Drosophila melanogaster: one gene and its partners. The protein of the gene in region 4 interacts with the protein of the main gene of each other region in a pairwise test. Each region holds a gene or a part of one and is shown on either strand. Other genes may lie near its edges.

Evidence for each region.
Region 1: the proteins of Cpr92F (region 4) and Cda5 interact in a two-hybrid assay, tested with the Drosophila melanogaster proteins (one large-scale study listed by BioGRID).
Region 2: the proteins of Cpr92F (region 4) and Ciz1 interact in a two-hybrid assay, tested with the Drosophila melanogaster proteins (one large-scale study listed by BioGRID).
Region 3: the proteins of Cpr92F (region 4) and Pits interact in a two-hybrid assay, tested with the Drosophila melanogaster proteins (one large-scale study listed by BioGRID).

What each region holds. Positions count from the first base shown.
Region 1 is NT_033779.5:56,226-60,858, forward strand, and holds the start of Cda5 (chitin deacetylase-like 5), read right to left. Parts: upstream 3,044-4,633; 5' UTR 2,965-3,043; exon of another isoform or gene 2,734-2,964; intron 2,507-2,733; exon of another isoform or gene 2,024-2,506; intron 1,969-2,023; exon of another isoform or gene 1,958-1,968; 5' UTR 1,926-1,957; coding exon 1,856-1,925; intron 1-1,855.
Region 2 is NT_037436.4:9,863,003-9,870,640, forward strand, and holds the start of Ciz1 (Ciz1 zinc finger protein), read left to right. Parts: upstream 1-1,636; 5' UTR 1,637-1,800; intron 1,801-2,055; 5' UTR 2,056-2,096; coding exon 2,097-2,396; intron 2,397-3,311; coding exon 3,312-3,359; intron 3,360-4,311; coding exon 4,312-4,742; intron 4,743-5,251; coding exon 5,252-5,933; intron 5,934-5,996; coding exon 5,997-6,320; intron 6,321-6,443; coding exon 6,444-7,096; intron 7,097-7,155; coding exon 7,156-7,477; 3' UTR 7,478-7,638. Other genes in the region: iPLA2-VIA (calcium-independent phospholipase A2 VIA), read right to left, coding at 1-260, 319-614, 775-814.
Region 3 is NC_004354.4:12,580,160-12,585,033, forward strand, and holds the start of Pits (protein interacting with Ttk69 and Sin3A), read right to left. Parts: upstream 3,035-4,874; 5' UTR 2,392-3,034; coding exon 1,413-2,391; intron 1-1,412.
Region 4 is NT_033777.3:20,667,719-20,673,357, forward strand, and holds Cpr92F (cuticular protein 92F), read left to right. Parts: upstream 1-1,852; 5' UTR 1,853-2,012; coding exon 2,013-2,024; intron 2,025-3,417; coding exon 3,418-4,551; 3' UTR 4,552-5,103; downstream 5,104-5,639.

The DNA of each region.
Region 1 (4,633 bases), on a different chromosome or scaffold from region 4:
TGTGTGCATGCAAAACAAAGTTGCGCCATGCCAATGGTCGTACATGCTCGTATAAAGTGTTCAGGTTACAGTCAAAGACCTAGCGAAGTAATTTAATGACGATCTTCCGCGTGCGCCAAAACTTTCGCACGGTAAGCATTGACACTGCCTGCGGTAAAAAAGAGACGAAATGATTAGGTCGAGGCGTGACCACCATACTAATGGTTTAACTGGCATTGAAACTGAATTATGATTAAAACCCCTTTGTTATACTATTCATTAAACACGCGCTTAAACAAATGTTCTTGCAAATGTTCAACTTTCGCCATTGGCCTCGTCCGCCTCAAACCTTTTTCTTTCAGCCATCGACATTCGCATTAAACCAGTAGTACATCAAATGTTTTAACACAAATTTCCTAGCAATTACGCATGAAAATATTTCCATGGCGGCATATCTAAGGTTTTACCCAAATATATATTTCTGTGGCTTAAAAAAACACCACTCAAAACACTGAGAAAGTTCATCAAAATGGAAAGTGTTGCCACTATGCCTAAACCAAGTCATGCAAGTCTTCATACCCTTGCGGAGGGTACATTCACTTAAGTCAGAAATTTCAAAGCTGTGAAGGACACAATTGTGCCCATATATGGTATATATATTTCTTGCTAAGTATCAACGACCGAATCGGTATAGCAGATAGATTATAAATTGTTTAAAAGAGGACGATCGGACAGCCGGGCTTGGCTATTTCAAGTTCGCTGTTTTTACTAATATGTTATGAATAAGATACATATATGCACTTTATAAGGCCACAAAGGTAATACAAAAAATCTATCTCAAAACAATTTAGCCGTCTAATGCTGTTATTATAATTTTAATAGTGTTAATCCTTACCACGTTATCTAAGCAATTTTCGTAGTTCCCAATTTGTTTTCTCAAATTTTGCATATATATCATTCATAAAAAATGTCTGAACAATTAAGCAAACTGTTTTAAAAATTATCAACAGTTATTATAGCCACAATTTGCTCGGTTACACCGATACACTCACTCACTTAGTGAACCTATTCAATCGAGTCAGCGAGCTGTATGCAATTAATATCTGTGTCATAAGCTGCTTGGTTGGCTGCTGGCTGATAACTTACATAATTCCATTACCATTACCCAGCAGTATGGTGAGTAGACAGCCCAAGTGACCAATAGTTGGACACGGTAAGGCTTGTTATGGTCGAAATGCTTGATTATGTTATTGTTCGCTGGTAAATAGAGCAGTTGATCAGACCATGTATTTACCTCCATACATACCCTAATGTAAATACTCTTACTTTTTATATATCCTAACACATTTCGCAGTAAAATGTCTTAATATATATATATATATATATATATTAAAATAAATATACATTTTTGGACATATTAAGAAACTCGTTTAGCCGGAGCCGGAGTATCCACAATAGAGCTCAACACAAGTGGTTAACAGCTGGTGGTTTGACTTCTTCTACGGTGATTGAATTTGACATTAGACTATTGCGAGCTCGTACATGGCAGCCGGAACAGTGTTCAAAACAAGTTTGGCTTTATTTGCGGAACATAATATTTCTATCACGAAGTTTCGAATATGATTGAGGAAAAGAAGAATCCATAGTACTGTAAAAACAATTCACTTAAAAATAAAACTTTTTCGGATCTACGTTTAAAAAAAGATTTCAGTTCATACATGAACTGAATACTTATCCATGGTTGTCTTAAAATCTGGTTAAGTGCTAACTCTTCTAGGACTAGTGGGTAAAGTGTGTAAGCCCTTTGCTCTTTTAAGTTTTTGCCTCCATTTGTATTTCTAGCAGAGTGTTCTTCACTGAAGTGGGCATTACTCACCTGTTTTAAAAAGCAGTAGGCACAATCCCAGCAGGCACAGAATGTTTATTCGACTTGTTGAATACTTCATATTGCAGGTATGGCGTGTCGTCGTAACTGTAACTGTAAATTTTCTTGATGTGGTTGGTTCAGTTTCGTTTTGGGGTTAGTTCACAGAATTTAAAATACCATAGGCAAGCTCGGATAAAAATAGTGGTTGGAAGCGCGGGAAGTGGGGAGCAGCAGCAGCCACCGTACCGATGACGGAGGCAGTTACCGTTGAGAAAACCTCTGTTTTGTTGAAAACAATTGCTAAATAACTAAGAAGGCAGTGTCGCAATTTTTCAATTTAGATTTTTTGAGCCTTGTGTTACAGTTTTCTTAATGGTGTGTCTGGCTTATGCCGCGACTGCGGCTTTGTGGCTGTGCCTTCACTTGGTTAGGACATGTTTGTATTGTTGTAAGCAGATTTAGTTTCTGCCCCTATTATTCGAGCTTTCGTTTGGCTTTAACCAACGCGACGATGCATAGCTAACACACACGTTTACAGATTACAACACTTAGTTTTCCTCCATTGCTTTTGGCAAGCGATTTTTAGTTAGGTTTTTTAGTTTCTTTCACGTGAGACTGCAATGACCGCTGTTCGTTTTGTAGTTACCATGGAAAAGATTGCTAGACAAAAATGCAAAGAGATCAAATCGAAGATCGGTGTTTGATTTAGATTTCCCGTACGGTATCGCGGGCACCTCCATATTGGAAAACTCTGTATGAACTAGTCTGTAGCGCGTAGAGGAAAATGCGAAACAAAATAAAACAAAACCTGCACGTTTTTATTTTGTTTGTCGAAGCTTGTATATATATTTAGCGTAAACTTTCTTTTTAACGCAAAGTTAGCTTACCACCGACACACACGCTTGAGCTCTTCGACTAAACTGCAAAATGCAGTTAAAACTGCTTTCTACAAAATGTTAAATTTTTGGCTGGTTGCAATGTCCAGTCAGAGGTGGACTTTATTTCGACGCGTTTACGAAATAAATTAGCAATCGAAAGCCCAAAAATTGATTGTGGCTTATTGCAAACAGTTTAGACCGCCTGACAAGTTCGGGTGACCCTCGAGCGTCTCTGCTTACCGTGCGCTTAAGCGAACCACACGTCCTAATCGAAACAACTATACAGCGCGACTGTGCGGACGAGTGTCTTGAGACTCTGGGCAAGCGCAGCCAGCCAACCAAGTTTCGAAGTCTGGCTTTTGGGCCAAGCTTGGTCTGCGCCACGCTTGGCCCCGACTGTTACTTTACATTAACAGACTGTTCAAGTTGTTGCTGCACCCGCGCGGAGTCGTTTGTATCTCTTAAGCTTTTGAAAGTAAGAGTAAAGTTAACGCTTGCGCCATTGCAGCTTTGCTACGTTTTACAAGTTATACAAGTTATCAGAAAAATGTAGTCCAGACCCATATTCTTAGTGAATTTCAACATTTTACTGAGAATTTCATCCAAAGCTCCCCATCAGTTTCAAGCTATCTACAAGCGGGGAGCGGGCTTTGTTTATTGTTTTCTGAAACTACAACAATATCCACCCTCTAGCCAACGAAGGCTGGGAAACTATTTACCAAGGCGATTGTGAAATGTTGTTACCTTTTTCGTTACATTTTCGTTTAGCAGCAGGTTTCTGGATCGCTCGATAGTGGATTACGGTGCTTAAATTAAAGAATGCTTACTACTTCAACATGGGCTTGGACTTGAATCCATGTCAAGCATGGGATCGAAGGAAGACCACTCAATCACTTTTAGAATTAATACCACCCAGCTGAATTGCCCTTGATAAATTCGATTTATATGCCCAACATATAGCTTTACTCTAAAGTCTAAAGTAAAGTGGCCAATTTCGAACCATAGAATTGAAAGTAAAACCGAGTTGAAAACATGGCAACGACCAAGAACTAGGCCAAAGCAGCCAACCAAAGCCAAGCAAAAGCTGTAAAACAACAGCTGAAGTAAAGGGGTTCTGGTGAACGGCGATGGCTGATGGTTTGAGCAAGGCATGCGAATTAATCTAATTCTTTATTTATTAATTTATTTTTGCTGGATTGTGTTTCACACGATTTTTTCTGTGAATGGAGGGCGAGGTGTTTTGTTGCATTGAATATTTTTGACTTTGTTTAGGAAATTATTTAATTATTTCCGTTACTATATTAAAAAGTGTGTAACGAAGTGTATCTTGAACTAAACGTTTCGGACCATATAAAATATACAAATACTTTATCAAGACCATTGGCAGAGTCGATCAGGCTTGTCCGTCCGTATTAACGTCGAGTTCTCAGGAACTATTAAAGCTAGAAGGTTGAGATTCAGCATACATATTCTAGTGACATGGACGCAGCGCAAGTTTGTTGTCCCATGTTGCCACACCCACTGTAACGACCTCAAGCAACCCGAAACTGCTACGCCCACATTTTTGAAAAATTGTTGCATATTTTTTTGTATATTTTCATCAGTCTTGTAAATTTATATTCATTTGCCAAATCCATTTTTTCCACGCCCACTCTTACGCCCACAGACCGCCCATAGCTATCGTTATACTAAGAACACTTTGGCGGCGTTCCTTCTAATGCCCACAAACCCCCAAAAGCTGCCACGCGCACACTTTTAAAAAGTTTTTGAGATTTTTTTTTATTTTATTATAACCCTTGTAAATTTCTATCGGTATACCAAGAACACTTTGGCCACGTTTGGTAAAACAGGCGATTTGGCAAACTCATTAATGAACCGTAATAACTCCGTTTCCTGAAACAAATATTTC
Region 2 (7,638 bases), on a different chromosome or scaffold from region 4:
ACCGAATTGCTGTTTATATCCAAGTGTTCCAGCTTGCTCAGCGGCAGCAGAGCCTTCACCATCTCCATGTGACCCTGTTTGATGGCCAACTGGAAGGGCGACATTAGGGTGGCGGCATCTGCTTGGTCCACGCACTGGAGCATCTTGGGATTGCTAATGTAGTCCACCAGATTGAAGTAGGCAATCAAATGGGACAGCGTCCAGGAGGGATTATCAGCCAAGGCATCGCAAGCTTTCTGCAGCCCATTTACATTGTAGTACTGAAAAATATAGAGTTAAATACATTGCTTCGCATTGCTTTGTAGTCCTCTCTCAAACCTCTTTCACAATGCTGACGAAAACGGGCAGCCTTTGCAGAAAGGCATTGAAGCGTTCCTCGGCTTCCTGCTGCACCGGCGACCGGTACAGACTGAAGGATGTGGTATTGGAATCCGAGGTGGGTCGCTGCAAAATGATCTCATAGACGGCTCGTTTTTCATTGCTGCTGTTGAAGGGCGGTGCAAAGAGGAGCATGGCGTCATCGCGGGCCAGGACTTGAAGTGTCCCCAGCGCTTCGCTCTTAATTTCCACGACCTTATTGGCCGGCTGATCGACACCCAGCAGGCGCTGTAGAACTGTAGTCGTACAAAATTGAAAGGCAATGTCATTAGATAAGGCGAATGCGTTGGTCATAAGACACATTAATACATTCTCAACTAGTCTACTAAACGGTGACACGACATGAACATGAACAGGAGGAGGAAGAGCAGTAATGATTGAAAGGGGGGTGAATACCGAAACCGGAGGCTAGTGCCCCTAACGCCATCCACGCCATGACTCAAGGGTGCGGAATTTGCTGCTGCGGATGCTGAATGTGTACTTTGAACTGGGCCAATCTGATCGGATGAGCTGGCTAATGTGGATGCGGTGAGCCTGACAGAAAAACAATGGCCAGTTGGTTAGTTACACGGGTGTGGGTGAGGATGAGCGAGTGGTTCGATGGGCTGCCAAGAAATCAATAGTACACATCTTTGGCCAATGGGAAGGGAACAGATCATCCGATGGCTCTACATTGCAGTAATGCTGCCCGTTTTTTCGTGCCTTCCCGCTATCCGTTGCTGCCCGACGTAATCAATGGTGACAATCATAAAATGCTTATTGTTCTGTGGGTCAGTTTGCGATTTTTTTTATTGGCAACAGTATTAGCTAACCATTGAACATTTTACTGCTCTGATTTCAGGTTTCCTTATCGCACAATTCCAGTATAAAACAATTTAAAATTTCTGCTATGTAAAATAAGAACTGAGCTGTATTTTTTGCAGCTTTATTAGCGATGTCACCGTTTATCAGTGATGGTACTGCATCAAACGATATTTCTAGACTTTCTAGTCGAGTTCAAACCCCCAATGGTAGGGGCTTGCAAATAAATGATACAAATTCGATTTCATTAAAGAAATGTTGTTTAAGAAATTAAATTAAATTTACATAGTTTTCGAGAATATTTGAAGAAAGCAAAGAAATTTTCTTTTATTTCGTTATTATGTTATTATGTTATTAATAATGTTATTTCAGCTAAATAGCATTGCCACATTGTTGACAATCGATATAGCCAAGTCTTAACAATCGATTTTAAGCACTGATTCCACAGAGCACGGTCACACTTCACTTTGTTCGCCATTGCTAGACAAAAAATTGTTTCGAGCGAAAAAAGTAGCTGATAGAAAAGGTGAAAATCAGAAGTTAAACGTTCAGTTAAAACTGAAAAACAGACAGAAAAGCAGTGCTTCATTGTGCCCATTAGTGAATAGTGTTAGAGCAGAGGTAAGTGGCTTAGATCAATTTGCAGTAAAATCGCAAAAAAATTCTCGGGCCGGCAGAAAATCGATTCTTTTTTTCTCAAACCGAGCGACGCCACCGGCGGCGCAGAGATAATCCATGAAAAGAAAAAAAAACTTAAGGGGTGCTGCGCTGAACGCTCAGTCTGTCCTTATGTATATTTTGCACGCATTTGTGCATACATGTATATAGTCTGCCATGCGGATCGAATTTTGTAATCTTTTCAACGCAACCTTACAGTATTTCCTTGTGCTGCAAACAGGAAGAGATTGGAATTAAAGATGCGTGGACGCGGCGGATTCATTCCACGTGGTGGTGGCACCACTCGCGGTGGCTACTACAATAATCGCAATTCCAGCAACTACGTTAATACTCGCACCCAGGGCAATTACCGACCCAATAATGGCCGCTACGAGAATAACTATCACAACAACAACAATCGCTACAACAACCACAACAACAGCGGCGGAGGAGCAGGAGGCAACAGCCACTACGACAACAGGAGTCGGGACAAGTTCACTCACCACAACTCGAGCAGCGGGCGCTACGAGTCCAGCTCCTCGAGCCACAAGCGCAGCTATGTAAGTTGGAGCACTTCGCACTAACCTATAAGTAACCATTTGTGAGTAATTACTACGATAGCTTCAGAAATATGCCCAGATTTGTTCTGCATTCTAATTAATTTCAATTTGGATTATAATGACAGGGTAGAAATTGAAATTATAATAGTTAGACCACCTTGACATTGGTTTTTCTACATTGTGTATCTGAAAATAGAGGGATATCGCTTATAACACGTACATATATTGATACGATTTTTTTGCAATGCTGATCATTCAGCCTCTTATTATCTCCCAAAGGAGATAAGAAACTGTAGGTAATATTTGGATGCGAAAAGATTTTTGGCACTATATGTAAATAAGACGAATACCAATGCATGTGAAAAATCAGAGATAAGAACCTTTTACAATCAACTTTTGTAATTGATAATAACAGACATTCTGGTCAAGCTAGTAAACACTTATTGGATGACTACTTATCTTTCCTAATTATACATCTGACAGAAAGAGAGATTATATCGAATTGACGTCTTTTCCACATGCAAAGCAAATGAAAAACTATTCAATATATATATATAAATATATTATATTCAACCTTAAAAGTATATATTCTACGAACAGGTGCGTACTTATAAACGGCACACTTATTTCTGTGGAAAAAATAGATAAGAATGATTATAGTATTTGAAATATACGTTTGATGTTAATTTAATATTTTTCAGTGGCAAATACGCTTGAGTATATTTGGCGGTCTTTTTTTTGTTTTCTTTTACCTTTTACCTCTTTGATCAATTGTTACATATTACATATATATTAATAACAAGTCTGTCGCTCTTGTAGTAAATGAATGATGTATTACCCAAATCCATCTATATATATATATACATATATATGTGTATTCATAATGCAATCTATTTTTATGTTTTGTGTTTCTAGGACTCATCTCGCGACCGCAGCGATGATCGCAAACGCCCGCGTCAAGACGTAAGTTATACTTTGCCCCATTTTAAATGCTATTGAAAGCACGCTATACCCAAAGGTCGACATATTAATTATGCATTAAGCCAATCGCCATGTACTGTGTAATGTTAATGACTTTCCAAATATTTATAGCACTGTTTGTGAAGCTTAAACGCGGGACTGAGTTGAGCCTATCGAGCGTTAAAGCATAACATGTCCCAAATGAGCAAACAGCGCGCTGACTCAAAGTTGCCAGACAAGCACTTTGGAGCACCGAACCTCTGACCATATACCACATAAATCTATATAAATCTGTATATTGTCCATAGCATCGGCAGCGGCGCGGCACCATATAGATAATGATTTTGCCAGCGACCGATCGATTGATCGATCGATATGATCCAATCCGATTCGATCTGAACCGACCCGAAATGATCCACGTATATGATATGAGAGAGCAAAAACTTCTTTAGAGAGCTGTTGAATCGATTGAAGCGATTTTGATCTGTAAACTCTTGTATGTCTTGTATGCCTTCTACCGTACCATCAGCTGTCAAATTTTTCCCCATACCGAATATCCAATATCAATGGTCGGTTAGCAATCCGAGCAGAGCAAATAGAAATCTATCAGTGTGTACATCCGCATACGAATTATAATAATAATATCGATTCAAATCTGTGTAGCTAAGCTATATGCGTATAAGTTTTCTCCATCATGCTACCACACACAAAAAACACGCTGCAGGAAATAATAATAAAAAATAATAACAGCCAATTGTGAACTATATAACCCACAACCAATCCGATCAGAATCAGAATCAATATCAGTCCGTAGCTATATAGCAATTATTTTCATTCAAGAAGTCTAAATATGTTTTATATCTACCAACTATATTTGATATTTGATACAAAAATCAATACCAAATCAACCAAAACAAAGCTCCTTCACACCTTCCTACTCATCAATCGTCAATAGGATTACCGTCGCACGTCCTCGTCGAATGATCGCAGCGATCGACCCTCGTCCTCGTCGCAGAACATTGGCTCCTCGTCATCGAACTATCATCAGCGGAGCAGCACCGGCGGTGGTGGTAATAACGGCGGGAGCTCGAGCTCCTACCGCCCACGCGATGATTCCACCAGCGGCAGCCGGCATCAGCGGGACGGATCGATGGGTCCTCCGAAGCGGATGATGCGTAGCGTGGCCGGCACCAACTATATATCCCGACCCCGTGGCACAATGTCGATGAGGGGCGGCATGATGCGCACCGGGATGCGGGTGGGAGGAATGCGCGTTGTGCGCACCAGGGTCAACGAGTCGAATGACCTGCGCACCATGCGCCGCCAGCTGCTCTATGCACAGCAGAAAGACCGGGCTCGCCTGCTCAAGATTCAGCAGCTGAAAAGGTAAATAGACCAAATTTCAAAAAAAAAAAAAAATCAAATTAAATCAAAACCCAAATGAATATACAAAAATCAGAGTTACGCTATTGTGCACCAATTGAGGACGCAAAGAACTATGAATGCAATCCGTGAGATTGACATAATAATGTGAACGAACTGTGAGATTCAGTGAGGCATCGAAAATCTGAATGCGAAAAGGAGGAGGGAGGAGAGCACTTGGTGCAAGATTATCCAAGCGGCCTCCAGAGAAACTCCCATCTTCGTAGATCAAATACTATCCATGTGTATATAGTTGTGTAACTAAGTAGAACGAATTGAAATGTACCGATAAAAAAGACACCCGACACTTCTTGACAAGAACGTATTTTGTTAGTTTACCACCCAGCTTGTTCTTATGTACTTAAAAAAAAAAAAAAACACAAAATTTTGAACTTGCCTTCAACCAAACAAAACAAAACCATCCTGCCACCCTGACATGACTTCACATTCGAATTCATTCCACCCAAATGTAGCTCGTTGCGACGACAACGCCAGGGCGGGAATTCCAGCGACGATTCCAGCGGCAAAGAGGACAAGGACGGCGAAGATGCTGAGAAAAGCAAGAAGAAGAAAGGCAAGGACAAGGACGCCGATGGAGGCGATGAATCCGACGACGACGATGACGATGAAGAAGACGATGATGAGAAGGACGAGAAGAGCAAGAAGACTTCGCCTGGTAAAAAACGCAACAAGTCGGCCAACAACGAGGACAAGAGTGAGGCCGAAGGTAACGATGATGACGACGATGATGATGATGAGCACGGTGATGGCGATGACGATGATGACAAGGACCTAAATGAGTCCGATCCCAAGAGCGCCAAGGCCGATGACGCCTCCGATGACGAGGATGTCAAGGTGAAGGGCGACGGTGAGGACGGCGATGGTGACAAATCGGACGAAAAGGCCAAGTCATCGGTCGAGAAGTCAGGTAAGAAGAAGGACAAAGACGACGCGAAGGACTCCAAGTCCAAGAAGTCATCATCCACCAAGAAAGAGCGCACGTCTCGCAAGGACAAAGACAAGGAATCATCGGGCGATGATCGTAGCAAGGAGCGACGTAGCTCCCGTCATCGGGATGAGGACCACAACAACCGCAAACGCAGCTTCATCAAACTCATTTGCGTCCATTGCCGCATCAAGTGTGTTACATTTAAGGTGTGTTTCTTTTATTGGAGTCTTGAGTTATTCAATTAACACCATTTCCTCATTGATCCGCAGGAGTATAACTACCATCTGAACTCGCGCTCCCACAAGAACTCCATGCGTCAGGTGGCCCTCAACCAGCGAGCTGACCTGCAGCGTATGCGTGCCCGCCAGCGCACCACACAGCGCGAGATCGAGGAGAATAGCAAGGAGGAGCACGAGTCGCGCTACTGTCGTCTGTGCCGCTTGGCCTACCGCCAGCCCAAGAATCTTCATCAGGCCTCCGAACACCACAAGACCATTAAGAAGTTCTTAATGCCCTATTGCGGCTCTTGCCATCTGGCCTTCAAGAATGCCATGCTCTACGAGAACCACCGCTGCTCCCTGGATCACATTAGGGTGAGTCAGAGTCATTAAGGGATCGAAACTCATTTACAGTTCTGGACTTTACTATATTGTTAATTTCCCTTTCATATCTTGAAATAAGCTTTAAATAATTAATTTTTGTATGTTTTCTTACAGAACAAGGCCCGCAACGATGAATCCGGATCGGATGATAGCGTGGATGAGCGCGAGATAGATTTGAATAAATTCCACACTGTAGACTCGGTGGGCGAGATCGATGTGGACATGATCGACGCCGATGTAGATGCCATGGTCACCGAGGCGGAGGCCGCTCTGAAAAGCGAGGATGAGGAGACTCGCAAACGCGCTCTGATTGGACCGGACTATATAAAGGTCATAGAGGCATTCTACTGCGAGCTGTGCAATCACTATTCCGCCAAGGCTGATGATGTCTCGTTAGAGGACTACACCAAAAAGCATTGCATGCAGCACTCCCATGTGAAGGCTTTCCTGCGAAACAAGGAGGAGACCGAGAAGAAGAACAAGACGGAGGAGGGCGATGAGGACGATCACGATGATGACAAAAAGGCCGGTGATGATGACGCCGATGGCGATGAGGACATCGATGGCAAGTTAAACGAGGATGACGACGAGTACGATGATGATGGTGATGCAGAAGTAGAAGAGGGTGATGCGACCAATGATAAAAAGATGTGGGAGGAGGTGGACAAGGATCTGGGTGACCTCCTGGCAGAAGTAGAGACAAGAGGTCATAAAGAAGATGAGGAGGATGAAGAGGACGAGTCTGTGCTTAACATTGACATTGAAAGGTATGTGAACGACGATGCAGTAATCATGAGCATGTTGTGTAATACGTATTCACTTGCAGCGAGAAAAACAAGGCGAAAGACGGCAAAGAGGAAGCGAACGGCGATACCGATGAGGGAGCTGCGAAAGAAAACGCGCCGGTGGCCAAGTCGCCGGAGAAAAAGCATGCTGCCTCTGCTCCAACCACACCAACGGCCAAGACCACCGCTGCTGCCAGCCAGCCGGCAAAGATGGCAACGCCCAAACCGACTGCAAAAGCAACCAAACCTGGTCCGGCTTCCACGAAGCGCAATGTCTTGGTCAGCGTGAAGCGCACTTCGGCGGCCGCCATTAAAGCTGCCACTAAGTCCGCCAGCAATGCGGCAGCCGCCGACTCCAAGTGAGCGACACTCGAGCGACAGTAATATAATAGTAATAGCAATAACCAAACCCAGTGATTGGGTTGCTACAAACATATTTCAAATATATAACTAAATTATAATGTGCTCAAACAACGTGCACTCGATAATGCCCAGCCAGAGCTGCTTCGACATCTGGCCGCCGA
Region 3 (4,874 bases), on a different chromosome or scaffold from region 4:
AGCGACAGAAGACGGAGGGAGAAAGAGATAGAGAGCGAGAACATTACAACGTCAGCGTCGACGATTTTTGCACGTCTCTGTTTATATTACATTCTGCGGCCCTTTTTTCGTGTGCTTTTTGCGCTTTTTTTTCTCGCCGTTTTTTGTTATTGCCATTGCGACTGTTACGTACGTGCATGTAAACGAACACGTAGTTGTGTGCGCGTGTGTGTCTGCGCGGTACATGCACATGTATATTCCCTATATGTATATTGGCATGTGCGCATGCCTTTTAATGGCAAGGGTTAGCAGCCCCTTTTTTCCACAGAGGGTTGCAAAATGCGTTTATACGCTTCTTTTTCTGTTTGAATGTACATGCATGCATGTGCACGTATGCGTGTATGTGTGAGTTATACATACGCATTGGGTGGCGATAAGGACGCGCTGATAAGCAAATGAGTTATCTAATCTCCAACACAACGCTCCTTATCATCCATGCAAACGTAAATGTGTACGTGCATATACATGAGAAGCGCAGTCTTCTTCTAGCTCGCCTTCCAGTAAGGAGAGATAAGGAGCAGGCAATCACGCCGTTTCACTCTGCCCTGAATAAGCGGTATGTGTGCCACTATATCGCCGCCTCTCTTCCTCCCACTCCCCCACCACGACCTTCCACCCACATCCAGGCTAGAGCGAGGCAGAAACAGTGCTCTGTATCCCGCGATCACGGCTCATATTAAAAAAAAAAAGGCGGGGGATTGGTAAGAAACGGTAAACAAATACAGTGGCCGCCAACTTTTTCAAACTTAGGATTTAAGCAAATTTCCTATGTTTCCGGAGGATAAAATAGTGTTTAATTTTATCCAGCAAATCTTAGATTGAAATTAGCAAAAAAAAATTTCCTCTAACTCACTTGTTTGTTTAAACAAGTTTTTATTTTTGTTTGACATTGGCTATCAAAGCAAACTGAAATATCACCCCTCGAAGAGTTTTGTATTTGAAATATTTTGATAAAATATACTTTAGAAGATATCAAGTGTTCACTGTGGCTGGGAAACAACATCCCCCTGGTCACTCCATTTTTTAATCCATATCGCGTATTTCCCACTGGCGATTCGATCCGATCGCTATAAGTGATAAGAAATCCATCACTGATAGGGGATTATCCCAAATCTGTTTTCCACCACGATAGATAGTGTTTTGTACTATCATTTATAAAGCCAAATATTTATCAACGCGGCACTTTTGAGACTCTGATCACTTTACTCTAATTATTATGAAAGGTAGTTTTCAAGGTAGTTGAAACTACTCCTGCTTTTCCCGAATCCCTACTGCAAATGAAAAATTTTCCCATTACTTGCTGCAGCAAAGTTCTTTCTATTGGGTAACCACTGTGCCAAGTATTTTGAATGATCTATGTCATGTTTGCTCACCTGCTTTGAAGGTCGATGCATCGAAACTGGGCGCTCTGACCGGCTGCTGCTTATCACGGAGTCCGCTAAGCTGACGCTCGGGCACATAGCTGACCGCCGCTGGCAGGGATTCGCCACGCGTCAATGGCGGTCTGCCGCCCACGCCACTTGGATCGTCCATGGCGCTGCGCTTGATGCCGGGCGGACAACCGCCGGATACGCCTCCGCCGGCGGATAGGGAGTTGCCAGCACTGCCATCTGGCGCCAGGCCGTGTCCCGACTGCTGTTGCTGCTGGCTTACATCCACATCGACATCCTCGCTGGGCGGACGCTTTAAATTCACGGATAGGGCGGGCGGTAGGCTGCCACCGCCACTGCCGGCGGTGGGTACGCCGCCGCCGGGTGCACCGCCACCGCCGCGGGTCGCATTTGGCGGCAGGTGGTGGGGCGTCATGTGTGAAATGCGTACGGGTCGTACGCCGCCACCGGGGGCATCCTCCAGCTTAACGGGATAGTCCAGTGGCGGACCGATGCGTGGCACTGGCATTTGATAGGGCATCTGATGGTGATGATGCACTGCAGCAGCGGCGGCGGCAGCAGCAACGGCATTGCCCAGCGAACTGAGCGAACCGGCGCCCGACGGACCTGGACCACCACTTCCGGGCGGAGCACCCGGTGGACCGCCGCCACCTCCGCCGCGATGGGAACCCGGTCCTTGTCCCGGAACTGGACCGACTTGTAACTGTTGTTGCTGCTGTAGGACGACGGCGGCCGCTGCAGCGGCGGACACTTCGCCGTTCTCATGGGAACGCTGCTGTTTGCTGGCGGGATGGAGACGCTTCATTTGGCGGGCGGCGTCCAGCACCGCCTCGATGCGATCGGCGCCCTCATAGTTGACGCAACCGCGGCACACCGCCTCCGAGAAGTCATTGATCATCGCCCAGGGCATGCGGGGTAAATCGCACAGATAGCAGTGCTGCCTTTTCGTTTGCAGCGACATCCTGCTGCGTTTCTGGAAACTGTCAACTGGCAACTAGCAACTGTCAACTGTCAATTGGCAACTGTCAATTGGAAGCCCTGGATGGGCTGGATCTGGAAATGGGTTTGTGCTGTTTTAGCTCACTGGAATGGCTAACTGTTCCTTCCTGCTGGATTCCCAATTCCTATTATTTATTATTTTCTCCTTTTTTTTCGCTTTCTTTTTTCTTGTTTCAGCTTCTTTTCGGTTGTGCGTTGTAGCTATTTTTCTTATTTAGCATTTGTTATTCATGTTTTCGTATTGATTTTCGCACACACGCACATATACACGCGCGCACGCACGCATATTTCACCGCGCTTCCACCCGAAAAAAATTCACTTATGTTTTTTCCTTCAGCTTCAGCTTCTTCTTCTTCTTCTTTTCTATTGTGCTGCGCCGCGCTGCTCGCCAACACGCACGCACACAGGCACACACACCACACACCACACTTAGGCACGCGCGCCGCAGAGTGAAAGAGAGAGGGTGCGCGCGAGTAAGCGGGACACGTAAATGTACGACGACGCCAAAAACGTGTAGGAACAAAACGAACGATGAGATCGCAGCGACGCAACGAATGACTGAAAAAGCGACCGGACGCCACACAGCTTGCTGATAGAGTGTGGCCTTGGCTGGTATGTGAGAATATACCCCAGGGGCCAAGCGAAATGTACTAAAAAATCTTCGCTGCCGCAATGGGAAATACCAAGAAAATACCTGAAATACTGGCTTATATCAGAGACACGAACCTTTCAGTGGACTTCAACCAGGGTTGCCAAAGTGGCTGAGACTGTAGCGAAGACTTCAACCATGATAAAGCTAAGGAAATTTTAAATTTTCTTTAAAATTTAGCATCATTTTGAGCATAGTAATTCTACTATTTCGTATTAATATATATAGCTTTTAATATATTGCTCCTAATATTACGCCCAAATATTAAAAATAAACCCTTTTGGCTGTTTAAGTAATTAAAAATAATATTTATTTTTATTTTTAACCCCCTTTGGGGCTACGACCCTGCCAGCGTACGTGCCTGCACGTCATATTCACGAAACGGAATCTAGTGACGAAGTCCTTCCCCCAAAGTCCGCCTGTAAGTATACCATGTAAAGTTCGTGGATACACATCCGTTTTTCGTATAGATACCGAACGTATGTACATAGGATACAGTTATGTAGACCTTGAATCTGGTATGCTCCGTCTCTTTCGCTCGGCGAACAGCTGACTTAACAGAGCTCTGTAACTGTTAATGAAATTAAAAGCCCTCATTCCTAGCAAAAAAAAAAAAAAAAACAAGGACATCCGTAAAGCACTGCGCAGGACCACAAACTGCAAGCATGTATGTGTATGCATATCGTTGCATATATGTACATATGTATAGGCGAAAATGCTTGGGTGTTCGTATTCCTGGCGTTTGGCCTGAATCGATTTCCCGACCATGGTCTGGGACAAATTCCGTATCTGTGCGTACATCCTGTTAAAAGGAAATGCGGAAAAAGGAGCCACCAGATACAGAAACACACGAACAAGCAACGACCTCGTAAACGGGGTCCTTTCCTTACACCCCCACCTTTCCATACAGTCCCGGCCATAAGTTTATGTCCGTGCACGCGCAACTGTACTCGCTTCTTAACATTTCATTTGAGATTTTATTTATGAAATGTTTGGCTCAATTAAAGATATAAAAATATTCTTTAAATTGCCACAAAATTAAAATTCCACAATAAAGACACTAGAAAGTTTAAAAGTTTTTTTTTAATTTCCTCTTTTATTAACAAAAAATGTTTTAAGATTAAAATCAAAAGAGAATCTACGAACTACGTTTATACACAAGCTTTATTTGTAATTACAGACCTTTCGACTCCCGAATAAGTAGGCAACAAAAACTGCATTAGTTATAAACTTATTTACAAGTGGGTAGAAAATGTTGCTATACTGATTATATATGTTCAACTGTTAAAAGGCATAAAGAATTGAATCGAAAATTCTATAAGCGTTACTCAATTTTCGAAAAGCAGGCGTATAAACGTAGTTACAAGGTGGTGTGGGGTCAAAATACAACACATTAAATTAGCTGCATATAAAAAATATCGCACATATTTGTTGTATATAGATAGTTAAATGCTAGATCGGTTCGGCGCGGCCACTGTTCTACTGGCATACGTCCGTATAACAAGGGCCCGACTCAAATGTCTTATGTAAGCAGTTAATTGCAAGCGTTTCGATCCTATATGTATATAGGTTTAGGTATATAATGGCTATATAAAGTACACAGTATAACAGTATTAGGCTTGAGCGTGTGCGTTTCATTTGTATAACAGTTAGCGTGTGTGTGTGTTTGTATGTCTGTTCGTATCAATTACAACTAAAATTGCCTTTGAGCAAAAACATTCTTATATATTTAGTTATAGGAGTTAGACTTATTCTCGTCAATACAAAAAAGTTTGTTTCTTAGCATTGTTAATTAT
Region 4 (5,639 bases):
CCGTTCGCAAATGGAGCTGGATTGGATCGGGTCGGGTTGGAGCTGAAGCTGAAGGTGGCTGAAGGTGGGCACCTCGACAAATCCACAAATGTGTGGATTGCACTTGAGCCAGTCGAGGCATTCATTCAGGCAGTCGGCCCACAGCTGTCGACAGTGGGCCGAGCTAATAAAATGAAAACAAAAGTGGCACCGGCAAAAAATATAATTTATAATGTTGCGCATACCGCAAAAATGTCAAACACGCCCCAAACCGATCGCCCGCCCGCGCATAAAAACAACAACAACAGCACATGCGGGTTCAAAAGAGCAGTTTGAAGTTGGTTTGGTTTATTCAAATTAAATTGGTGGCAGGCAAAGGCAAACAAATTAAGTTGCCGATACGAACTCAAGAATATGGAGTGTGCCATATAGACTATAAACGAGTATATAGGCGCATATAGCCAACCGCCCTCCCGATTTCGCTTATCGAATGCAAATAATCAAAGTTAGCCAGGGTGCAAGCACTCATTATATTGCAACGGACAAGAGAGGCTCACTGCTGCACTTGCAGAAAAAATGCAATCGGATTTCGGATACGGAATCGAAATTCATTACATTAAATTATATTTATTTCTTTATGTATATATATATATTTATATGTTTAACTGAGCTATAAAAAAATAATAACATTTTGGGGAAAAAAAATCATCTCTTCTCTTTAATAACTAAGATACTCAATAATTGTTAAGAAGTTGGGATATTCAACTAAGATACATACAAAAATTAGTTACAACAGCATTTCTTTCGAAATCGTTCACTCACCTAGCATTCGACGAATATCATTTTCTCTTCTTAGGGATTATTCTTAGTTAAGGATAGCTCATTCTAAGTTAAATAATTTTGATTTTCCGAGTGCATGAGTGCATTTGGGAGTGCAACATCTAGATTAGCGGACAGCAAAGAAATGCTGCAACATGTGGCAACAGCGGTGGCCAAAAGTGAATAGAAAATCCATTTTGCTGTCTTTTGTTTTCCGCTTGCTTCTTTGGGCAGTGCTCTTGTTTCTCCTTTTTTTTTAATTTGCAAAGTTTTCGTTTCGTTTTCCGATGCAGTTCAATGATTAAAGAGGCAAACGCCCAGAAATTGGCCAGCTCACATTTCGTTATGGCCACCATTGGGGCATGTTGCAAGCGGTGGGTAAGAATTTTTTAATTTGATCGAGCGTTGCGCTTGGGGCGGGGCTCTTGGGCGTTTTTTGGAAAGGCACTGATCGATAAGATCGGCCTAATCCCGTGGCCAAATAATGAGTGCTAATTGTCCGCACCGCGGAAGTCAAAGAACTAGCACCCGAAACAACACCAAATAAAATACATTAATCGCCTAATGTTGAAGCCAGGTTGAAACCAATACCGGCAATTAAATCGCGTTGAAAGCAAGGTCATGGCAGCTGTGATTTTTTCCACAGTGACAAACGCAGCGCGGAAACGCACGAGCAACATGTTGCCAGTGCAACTGCAGGCCAGCAACATGCTGCAGCGGCACTCCACTGCAAGCGATTGATACACATTCTTCGGCTGCGATATCCACTTCGGCTCTGGCCAAACCCCGCTTCGAGCCCCGATTAAAGTGGTAATTCGATTACTCTGGAACTGGTACCACACATTGTTCTGCTCTTGCTCTCGTTGGCTTTTGTTGGCTTTTGTTGAACGCCCGATATTGCTGGTGTTGCGGTGTTTTCGCTGCTGTTACCAATGTTGCGCATGCGCCGGCGTCTCAGCCGGAGTCTCGGCTGCAGTGTCTCTGCTCCCCAATCCCCAGTCTCCGGGCTCGCTGGTCTCGGGCGGTATATATTAGGGCCGCCAGCCAGCAGTCAGCACAGTTCGTTAACAGTCCTAGTCGTGGTTCTAGGAGGTTCAACCAGCGTCCAGCGACCAGTGCCTGTGCCCGTGTGTCGTGTGTAGTTAGTTTTCCGTTCATCCGCAGTGTGTCCCCGAAACTCCTTTTCGAAGCTCAATCGTGTGATCATAGCTAAAATGAAGCCATTCGTAAGTATGCGCCATGGGATCGAAAGGATAACGCCGAGCAAGAGGATTAAAGTTATAAATAATATGAGTTGGAGTGTGTAGATTACCGTGAGGAGAAAAGGATATTTGGATTCCGTGCTTGAATTACTGAGATACATTTCTAACTTTTTCTGTTCTACAAATTAGTGATTAACGTCTCTGCATGTAATTTATTTTTCTTAAAGTTACAAAATTTTACCATAAAAGTGGGCAAAAGTTCATTTAATTGATTGATTCTATCATGAAATGCTTAAGTTCATTAAAATCGTAGTTTAATGGAACTATGTAAGTCCACAGCCAGGTTTCGCTAGTTAGAACTGCTTTTTCATTTTCGATCTTTGGGATATGTTAATCGGTATCAAGAGAGAAGTGTGGCATACCAAATCTTTAAATTGGATTTTGTCAGCCGTTCGAAAAGTAAACACTAGTTTGACAGTGACTTGCCATTAAGTTTGAATGAATTCCTGGCATTCTTTTAATCTGTCATAGCGCAATTAATTTAAAATTCAACTGACATTGCTTTTGTAAACTCAATTTATTTCGCTTAAATTCCGCTCCGAACGAAATGGCACCTGTGCATCGTTCAGTTCCATCCGAGAGTCAATTACCATGGCACGTCATGCTAAACGTACCACCCAGCAAACCATCAGCTGCCATGGAACTCCGTGCGAAATCCCGTTGATAAGCCGCTGACATGTTGCATGTCGGACAGTTTATTCAACCGTTTTTCCACCACTTTCTGCCCCACTCACCTGCTGACACATAATATCGTACATAATCGCGCCGCATGCGGTAATATCTTCGAACGAATATTGGCCGACCGACCGACTACTGACTACATATCTCGGAATCAAATCTAACGGTTGCGCTTCGCGGCTCTGAAAAGCGAAACCATTGGAAAAGCGAATCCAGAGGAGAAGCGAGTCCAGGAGAAAAGCGAAAAGATGGGCGTGTGGGGCAAGAAAAGCGAGAGGAAAACGCTGGCGCAAGAGCAAGAAAAGCGAAAAGCCTGTAATTAGGTTAGCAGAGGCGGCTTATAAGCTTCCACTGAGTGACACCTGCGATTAACGATTTTGGGCGGTGGCTACCGCACGAGTAATTATTGAGCAGTCACATAATCCCACGCCTAACACCTTCTGCACTGTGAGAAACATGTAGAAGCTATATGTTAAATAATTTGAAATATTCAAAGAGATGAAGGTACAAAAGTTCTCTAATCGGAATTCAACATAGGCAAAATCAAAAAGATTTTTAATTATTATTATATATATATTTAATATATAAAAATCAGTTCTGTAAAGCTATATTGAAATTTGTTAGTTTTTTTTATCAGCTACATCAAAATTACAAAAAATAATTTCCCATTTTTATTTAGTTTATTGCCGCAGCGTTGCTGATCTCGACGGTGTCCGCCTCTTGGCACGGAGCCGTCTCCACACAGTACCAGCACCTGGACCCGCACAGCCACACCTACTCCTACGGATACGCCGATCCCAACTCACAGAAGCACGAGACGCGAAGCCATGACGGCACCACGCACGGCTCCTACTCCTACGTGGATGGTCACGGTCATGTGCAGTCGGTGTCCTACACCGCTGATCCGCACCATGGCTTCAACGCCGTGGGCACCAACCTGCCTCAGGCTCCTCAAGTTCATGCCGCTCCCGTTTACGCTGCCGCCCACGCCCATGGCGCCTATGCTCCTTACGCCCACGGACCCATCCACATCCCGGTGCTGACCCACGGAGGCGTCCCCGTCGATACTCCCGAAGTGCAGCACGCCAAGGCCGCCCATGCCGCTGCCCACGCTGCTGCCGCCCACAATGCCGGAGGACACCACCTGTACAAGCGGTCTATTTACGGCGGAGGATGGGCCTACGGACAAGCCGCCCATGTGCCGCTGACTCATGGAGGTGTGCCCGTTGATACTCCCGATGTGCAGGCCGCCAAGGCCGAGCACTATGCCGCCCACGCCAAAGCCCTTGGCCATGTAGCTCATGCCCACGGTGCTCCCGTTGAGACACCCGAGGTGCAGCACGCCAAGGCTGCGCACTTTGCCGCCCATGCTGCCGCCCGTTCTGGACATGCCGTTTCCCCCATTAACCACGGTGGCTATCACGTGCCGGTAATCCACAATGGAGTACCCGTCGATACGCCCGAGGTGCAGCATGCCAAGGCCGCCCACTACGCCGCCCTGTCCCAGGCCTCCGCCCACGGAGGAGCCTCGCATGGATCCTGGGATGATGGCAGCTACGACGGACGCTGGGAACAGAGCCACAGCAGCCACAACAGTTACGCCTCCGGCTATGCGCACAAGGGACCCATCCACATCCCGGTCATCCACAACGGAGTGCCCGTGGAGCCTGCCGAGGTGCAGCACGCCCGTGCCGCGCATCTGAATGCGTTGGCCGCCGCCGGACATGGAGCTCCCGCCAGCCATGGTAGCTACTACGGTGGCAATGGACACGAGGATGATGGCCAGTACCACGCGCACTATGACCACTATTAAGTGACGAGTGGTCGGCACTTGAGAGAAGTTTAACTTCCGATCGACGACGAGCATCTCTATACACTCTGACTAACCGACTACCGAAGCCAGCGTGGCGTATGCGTAACGTTGCATTGCGTATTCGCTCGCCAGTGCCACTTTTATACAGCATTCGCAACTCTCTGTCTTTCTATACATTTATCTGTTCTATTACTGCTTCTATTTCTTAACCTCTGTCACAAAAACACACGGAAAACTGAAAGCTACTACACACGGGAGATTGAAGTGCTTCGTTAGAAGCCTTCCTTGCCCGCTGGGTTTTGACCGATTTGGATTTTCGATCCAGTCACAGCACACACATCTCTACCTACCTACCTACATACTTCTCTCTGTACTAGGATTTTCCCTCATTTTTTATCTATATCTTTATCCTCCTGTTACTTCGATTGAGAAACGCTGTATGAGTATGTTGTAAATAACAGTTGTAATCTTTATGTATCTGACCAGATATAGATCTATATTTTATATGAACATGCAAACAGACAAATAAACTGCAAAAATGTATTTGATCACAATTTGAAGTGTTTGGAACTGGTGGTGGGATTGTGGTATTAAGAATTTAAAATCAAAGCCCCAGGATGCAATGTTAACTTACTTCTTGAGATAAGCTTTTAAATTTTGTTGGTAAAAAGCGCAGCCCTAAATAATTAGATAAATATTTCGCTTTACATTTTTCAACATATATATATAAATTAGTTACTTTTTTAATTTAATCAATGATTTCTGTTAAAATATTTCAAAATTTGCTAAGGCTCCTAGACAAAAATTAAAACACTTTTTAGGCTTATTAGATTTAAATTCAATCGAACTTATTGTATTTAAAGTTGGAATTGAAAATTCATCTTCATCCTGAAGATAAAATTCCACATTTAATGATTTTTCTGATGTTTTGTCATGTTAATTAAAAGGCCATCCAGTTTTGGGGCTTCGCATCCATTTACTTTAAACTCTGTTGCATATTTCCCAGTCTCAGGTCAAATGCCGCACCACCCAGAACAACCATCTAAACCACCACTGATACCGCACAACTAGCACCACCCAGTTTCCAC